2 linked regions of the Mytilus edulis genome follow. The main gene of each other region encodes a partner of the protein of the gene in region 2 in a complex. Links are inferred from orthologs where the notes say so. Each region holds a gene or a part of one and is shown on either strand. Other genes may lie near its edges.

Region 1 (3,762 bases), on a different chromosome or scaffold from region 2:
TTTTATAAACACCTTATATAATTATAAACATTAAAGTTACCATAATTGAAAAGTTTAACTTAAGTGAAAAGTCCCTTCCTGAAGTTTATTCATGTTTATTGAATATACAATAAGTCATACTTAAATCATAGATCAAATTTATTCTTTCATTGTATGTTCACACATGTTAATATGTCGTGTTCAGCCATTTCAAATTTCAATTGATATCTTATATTGTGTCTTTCTGTGTTGTGATGTTACACTATTGTTTCAGATAAGGGTGAAGGTTTGGTACCATGTAAACAATTAAACCCACTGAAATTGTTTGCACCTCATGAATCTGATGTTAAGTAGTTGTCGTTTGTTGATTTGGTTCATAACATAAGTGTTTCTCGTTTCATGTTTTTTATATAGATTAGACCGTTGGTTTTCCCATTTAAAAGGTTTCACACTAGAAATTTTTGGAGGCCTTGATAGCTTGTTGTTCAGTGCAAGCCAAGGCTCCGTGTTGAACACCTTAATTTTACCTATAATGGTTTACTTTTATAAATTGTGACTTGGATAGAGAGTTGTCTCATTGGCACACATACCACATCTTCTTATATCTATTAGATCATAAAATAATGTATGATTTATCTTTTCAGTACCTCAAGTTCAGCATCTCTATCAGGTCTCAGTGCCAGCGGTAACAAGAGATGATTTCGAAGATGTGGTGATCTGTCATTTTTCAGGACTTTACCAAGACTATTTAGCTGACCAGATATCAGAGCAAAATTATCCAGCACAGATGGCCTGAAAACAAGAAGGGATATTTTAAGACATTAACTACATGAACATGCTCTCTGATTAAAAGAAAGAACATATCGAATTTTTAATCATTATCATGATAAAAGGTTTAAGCAGATAGTAGCTTTTAAGGTAAGAATTTATACTTCAATAAAAAAAAAATGACATATAGCTATCATGGCTATAGTCAAGTACAATTCATTATTTACAAGTAACTTCTATAATAATTTTAGCTCATTTACAATGTCTAATATATCAAAGTTTGTTATTTTTTGTACATGTTTTTTTAATTTTATTCTGCCACATCATGTTTACATTTGCCAGATGGTAAACATGGTAATTGTACAAAACAGTTTTGAAATTTTAATAAAATATTTGTCAAAGAAAATGCATCTTATTTTGAGATTCCCTGGTCTTGTGATCTTTTTGTGCTTGATTCTTATTGTCTGTTCTTTCATCTGTTCATTGAACTATCCAGCTCCTTTGCAATTTCTGAGTTGTGTTAAGAATTGTATTATGCATAACTCAGTGTTTATATCAGTATGATCATGTGTCCACACTTTGTCTGTTGTCTAAAGGAGCATATTAACCATTAAAACATAATGTCCTACCAATTCAATGTTTGATATTCATTTTCAAGCTTAAAGAGAAACGATGCAATGGAATTTTTGATATCCTGAACTCTGTGGATCAAGGCATCTACAGTGGCTTCTAATTGCTTTTCTTCTTTCTGGAAAAAATCAAATGAAATATGTACATTGTAGTTGTAGTCATGGTAGTAAATTTGTAAAGCTAGTAAAACCGGTCTTTTCAGAATAAACATATTCAGCCATTTTCTGGTCTTAGCCTAACACTAATTTTAATTTCACAAAATGTATGTACTCTTATGATAATTTAACCCTTTCATGTATCCTTTTTACATCCTTGTGGGCATGCTGAATGTATCCATTTGGCACATCAGTGTAGATGCCGAATTCGAAAGCATCCTTTTAAGGATACAATGTACATAAATTTTCTATTTTTAGACTATCACAATCAAGAGGGTGACATAGAATTATTAAACTGTCAAAATTATTTTCAATAAGTGTAAAAGTTTAACAGCCAAGGTGAAAAAAATGAAGACCACAACAAACAAGGCAGACAAGATTGACAAAGTCAACTTTCTAGTTAATTTACCAATGAAAGCATTATAAAATTATAATATATAAATATAATATGATGGAAACTGAAAGAAGACCATGAGAAAGATACTAATAGTATTTTTGCTGTCAAACACATGCACTTTGTATACATGATAAAATGAACAGCATAAACATAATAAACGTGAAGTTTTCTTTTAAAACTTTTTTTTTAACTCCAAAAATCCTTCAGGGATAACTATGCACCTCTTCCAACAGGTGCATGCCTTCTTTATAACTGTTTCCTCAAAACACACTCTATAAAATTAGTTTTTAACCTGCATTTTTGTTTTTCTTTATAATAGTTTCTTGATTTTTAAACCGGAAATACAATACCGAATTCACGCATGCGCAATCGGAAGAATTTACCAAATCGCATATCAGCCATTATTTTGAAGGATCTGAAAAGACAGAATTTTATTATATAAAATTTATATCAAGAATATTCAAGGCTGAAAGGTAACTGTTTTGAAACCCATACACTTCCAGGTTCTACATGAAGCTACTTTGAACCAATCCGCGCACCTTGTTTCATTGAATAATTCTTTGTTCTCATTGGTGGGTAGGTCAGTGTTGATTGGGTGTCGATTCCCGACCAATTTATTGGTCCACTCTTCGACCCAATCTCCAATGATAATTTACAAACATTTCCCTGTATCAAAGAAGTAGCAATTTATAAATGAAATAAAATGTTTCTCCAAATAAACTCTCTGTGATCGACAGTCATGTGTTGACAAATATCCCCTCACGGACAGAACAAAAATGGCTTCCTTGAATTGCTTTCTATTTTTAGAATGTTACTACAAAAACAAATTCTGAAAATGAATTTCCCATAATTTTATCAACCTTTGGTGTTGTCTCAGTTAATATTGGAACTATGCAGAATGAGACTGATCAAAGTAAGACATTGATATACATGTATTTATATTTAATATTATTCTCATTTTTGTACAAGAACTACCCCCTTTCCCTCTTTTTCATGCATATATTTGTGAAATATAGAAAAAAAATGCTTTGATATGAATAAATGTCACTCAATTTAGGCTAGACACTTCAGCGGTGGATCCAGAATTTTTCATAAGGGGTTGGGGCCACTGACTGCCTCAGATGGCCGCTCAAGTCATGCCTCATACAGTGTTTCCCTGTAGAATCAACCAATTTACCACAAAAAGGGGGGAGTCCACCCCTCCCACCACCACCACCAAATCTGCATCTAGACTTGGGTATTAAAATGTATTTTATACAAGATTGTTTAAAATGCAAAAATAATTCTTCATTCATTTTATGTTTGGAAATTTAAAAAAAGATATAATTTACCATTTTACCCTTTATACCTTTACATGTAGCTTTATCCTGTAGTCCTTAAATAGGCTAATGGTGTCTACTGACTCCTCATCTTGGAATGTCTTTCTCATCTCATAATAATTGCATAATAATATATTTATATATATTATATTTATTTTAAAAAAAAACTTATTTAGGGAATATGAAAAAGAAATTTGAGTTGTCTCCCTGTTTTTCCTCTAAAATTAAAATTAACACTTTAAATTTAAATCTTTGCATTTAAGTTTTAAATGGTAACAAATATTTTATAAAATCATAATTTACAATTTTCATGTCATATTGCTTTCATGTTTGACATAGGCATACCTCAAAATTTGAAGTAAGTAACATCAATAAAATTTTATAAATACCTTTGAATAAAAGTATAAAAAAAAGTGATAAAGTGTGTGTTGAAAATGTTTGCCTCAACATATATTTGAAACTACTTCTTTTTGGGCAAATAGACTACTATCCAGTAGTTCTTGAATAAAAGTGA
Region 2 (3,762 bases):
TTAAACGGTTGGTTCAAATTTTTTGAATTTCTTATATTTTTGTCAAAGGGTCAAAGTAAACACTTTGTCAAAATTTAAAGAAAATTAAACGAGCCAAATTAATTTTAGTTAAAGTGTTAGGTACCTCCTTAAATGAAACAGTTAAAGTTATTATTTATAAATGATCAAATTGTTCATCCAATAATAACAATATTGTAATGTTTTTAATTTAAAACTTTCTTAAATCTTTTAAATTATTGGTTAATTGGTACGCTCAGTGACAGCTTTAATGTTTTTATGACAACTAATGACAGTTAATAAAAAGTAATTATGGTACGTGTAAAGTGATTAAGTTGATTAATGACACATGACCTATGGCACACGACCTAAAAATAATTATTTTCTACTTTTTTCTCACTTTAACATGCCAATGCATAACCCTCCTCCTTTTTCACCCAGACTTGGGACCGGCGTTGACGGAGTTAAAGTTTTTATTTGATTTTTTTATAACTCTTATTTTACTCTATTCCTTTTACTTTCTCTCAGAGACATCACTATGTTGTTCTTTGATTGCATGTTATACTGGCATAAAGCCTTATTTTTCATCTGAAAAACCCTGGTATAAACATGAAACAAGTCTTAGTTGACCAGAGCAGCAGCAGCAGTTGGTCCATATACAAAAAACAAGAAACATGAAAGAAACAACTTATGATAGAAAAAAAAATATTAATATAAGAAAGTCGGCAACATAAAGATGAGTGGTGTAAGTATTGGAGACATCAAAGCACGTGGCAGAAGACTAAATACTTTGACAAAGACGGGGTACATCTAAATGATGGACAATTTAAATTCTTCTGTTCTATCGCATGTGTGCAAAACTGTAATTGTAAAGTGTAAAATTATGTGCAATCAATTATTTAATAAATAAATATAGATATATATGTACATCAATAGGTCTTTTCATTATTTTTTTAGTAACCTACGACTCATATTATTATATATTTGTAGGACTCTAAAGTGCGATGGTACTCTAAAGTACGATGGTCACGCTAAAGTGCGATGGTCTACGCTAAAGTGCATTGGTGTCAGACGCTAAAGTGCAATGGTTGTTTGTTTTTAAATGAGATCAGATGACATGCTAAAGTGCGATGGTATGCCACGCTAAAGTGCGATGGTGTAACTGGAATGGTGTTCAGGCAATGTCTTTTGTTTTTTGCGGTGTTAATATTAGTTTTTGTATATTGTTTATAAATTATGCCGTTGTTTTTCTCTTTTGAATTGTTGTACACGAGTTATTGTGTGGTTTATATAACTAGCTATTCGACTAGAGCCGATACTCCACGCCTTGGATCATAAGTTATTAAGTGCGCACATCTGCAACATTTTGTGTTTGGTGAATAATTGTTTCATTGGCATCTTCTTATTTGTTTTTTTGTTTGTTAATTGATTTTTTTCTGTATAAATCAGTCCGTTATTTTTCTCATATCAATTATTTTGCAATGGTCGTTCTGAAAACCTTTAGTCATAAATCTACTATTTATCTGCTGGGTTAGCCATACGATTCCAGTTTAGATCTAGACTTGTGTCATCGGCAATCATATGATGATACTTCATAACTGCTTGGTATGTCACTATCTTGTTGATGAATATCCATCTCTTTCACAGACATGACAATACATATTGTACAAAAATATTCAGGTTATAGAATAACTCAATTAGAAATTTAAAAAGTAGCTTTTATTCCAAGCAAGTTCGATTATAAACATAGAAGGAGTTTCTAAATTAAATTTGAACGAATTGAAATACTTTGACACTTGGTGTATTTTGACTTTTTCTCTCTTTTACGGTAAGCACCTTCCCCTTACTGTCATCAGTTTTCTATGTTGATGGGAAAACACAGCGAGTTGAAAGGTTTTGTACGGTGGGTGATTTTGTTGGAAAAAAATCCTCTGCATACAGTCTTCTATATCACCTACTAAAAGTGTTTTGTTTCATTTATATCTCTTTTTTTTTGTCTTGTAAAAAACCTTCATAGGGAGCCACAAATATTCTTGTTTACCGGCATGTCAATTTTTGTATGTTCAAATTGGCTTCAAGCGTCATAATGCAAACATTCACACTTTCGCGAACAAACACGCATTCATGGAAAAATGCACTTTATCGTGTCATGGCATCGCACTTTAGCGTACACCATCGTACTTTAGCGTGACCATCGCACTTAAGCGTCCCCATCGCACTTTAGAGTCCTACATATTGATATAACAGTTTTCTTAGGTTACAAAACATCACAGGTACTAAACAACCTAGTAAGTTAGGAATCGACTAGTTACGAAACCGTCAAAGAAAAAAAATATAATAGCCTTTCAAGACGTCATAATTATTAGGACTACAAAACGACCTGCATCCTTCACAACATCTGATTAGTAAATAAAATAATTAAATGTCTACAGTATGTGGTAAAATCAAGGATTTATATAATAAAGATCAGCAATATCCTTGTTAAAATTGGTAACCCTTTCACTTTTTCCCCTCCACTTTTATTGTTTTAATATAATTAGTGCAGACAGAAAAGACAATAACAGTCATGGCAGTTTTCCAGGTTTCACAAGTTGGGTAGGAAAAAAAACTAAAGTTGTCATTTTTATATGGTCTAGACCATGCATTTCATTTGGTGTTTCAAATATGTGAAATGACAGTAATACTATTAGTGAAATTACTTAGATATCAACTCAACATCATCAATTTGTTGTAAAAGTTTTTGTTTGGTGCTGATGGAGGAAGCCATGCTGAATTATTCGACCAATAAATTATGCTGATAGAGTAGGAAACATTTATGAACCAATCGAATACACTTTCACATACAAGAAAAGGAAACCGGAAGTGAATGTCAATAAAATCAAAACAAACTCATCATGAACAACAAATTTGATGCGTACGTAAAACATGCATACATTCATAATTGACCAATTATATTTAAAGATCTTTAAGTAAATCGCATGACACCTAGCCAATCCATTGACACATTTTTCCGTAGGGTCAATTTTTGTTCGGCAAAAGGCATAATTTTGACGTCATCAATTTGCCCAAACACGTGCAACTTATGAATAGTCACCAAGTCCAAGATGAACAGGTTACATTTATTAGCGAAACTAATGAAAACTGCAATTATTATTTTTCTTTAAGGTATCATAAAATCCGACCATGGTACTTTTGTTTCTTCGTGTGTATAATTTAAAAAAAAAAAGTCAACTTTGAATCAAAAATATGTGTCAACAGCTGTTTAGACCAGACCTAGACTTTACAGTATCCTGATAAGCTAGCACTGTACATTTACATTACTGTTACAATGAATGAAATTGTAGGACAGCCTTTCAAGCTGAGATAAATCCAGTGCTTTGTCAGACATGTACAATGTACAACAAGCCCAAGTTTGTCGAAGTAAGGCGTCAAATAAAAATAATATAATAGCCTTTCAAGACGTCATAATTATTTGGACTAAAGTTTTGCATGATACATTGTGTCATTAATTATGCCTGTGTCACCATAAAGTGCATTTCAGAATTAATGTTGTGTGTTTCATGTCGCGATGAATATTTTAGAAAACATTTTAAAAATTTTGAGATGTCATATCTGTCACTATGACATTGTATGACAACACATCGTTTGTATTCAATTTCAGATGAATTATACATATATAATATGCTATAAGTATAATTATTCAAGTAGTACAAGTTTGAAATAATTCTTTTGTTTATAGCTTGAAAACTTTCTTTGTCATACATG

The links.
Region 1: mediator of RNA polymerase II transcription subunit 4-like (region 2) and mediator of RNA polymerase II transcription subunit 8-B-like share a complex: the UniProt entries of both Caenorhabditis elegans proteins name them as parts of the mediator complex. The link is inferred for Mytilus edulis from reciprocal best matches to the Caenorhabditis elegans genes mdt-4 and mdt-8.

The regions. Positions count from the first base shown.
Region 1 is NC_092344.1:62,054,094-62,057,855, forward strand, and holds the start of mediator of RNA polymerase II transcription subunit 8-B-like, read right to left. Parts: upstream 2,184-3,762; 5' UTR 2,169-2,183; coding exon 2,151-2,168; intron 1,496-2,150; coding exon 1,377-1,495; intron 772-1,376; coding exon 627-771; intron 1-626. Other genes in the region: nuclear transcription factor Y subunit gamma-like, read left to right, coding at 2,828-2,842. UniProt on the Caenorhabditis elegans protein: Component of the Mediator complex, a coactivator involved in the regulated transcription of nearly all RNA polymerase II-dependent genes.
Region 2 is NC_092346.1:52,328,942-52,332,703, forward strand, and holds the start of mediator of RNA polymerase II transcription subunit 4-like, read right to left. Parts: upstream 2,866-3,762; 5' UTR 2,765-2,865; coding exon 2,697-2,764; intron 1-2,696. Other genes in the region: eukaryotic translation initiation factor 4E type 2-like, read left to right, coding at 2,892-2,911. UniProt on the Caenorhabditis elegans protein: Component of the Mediator complex, a coactivator involved in the regulated transcription of nearly all RNA polymerase II-dependent genes.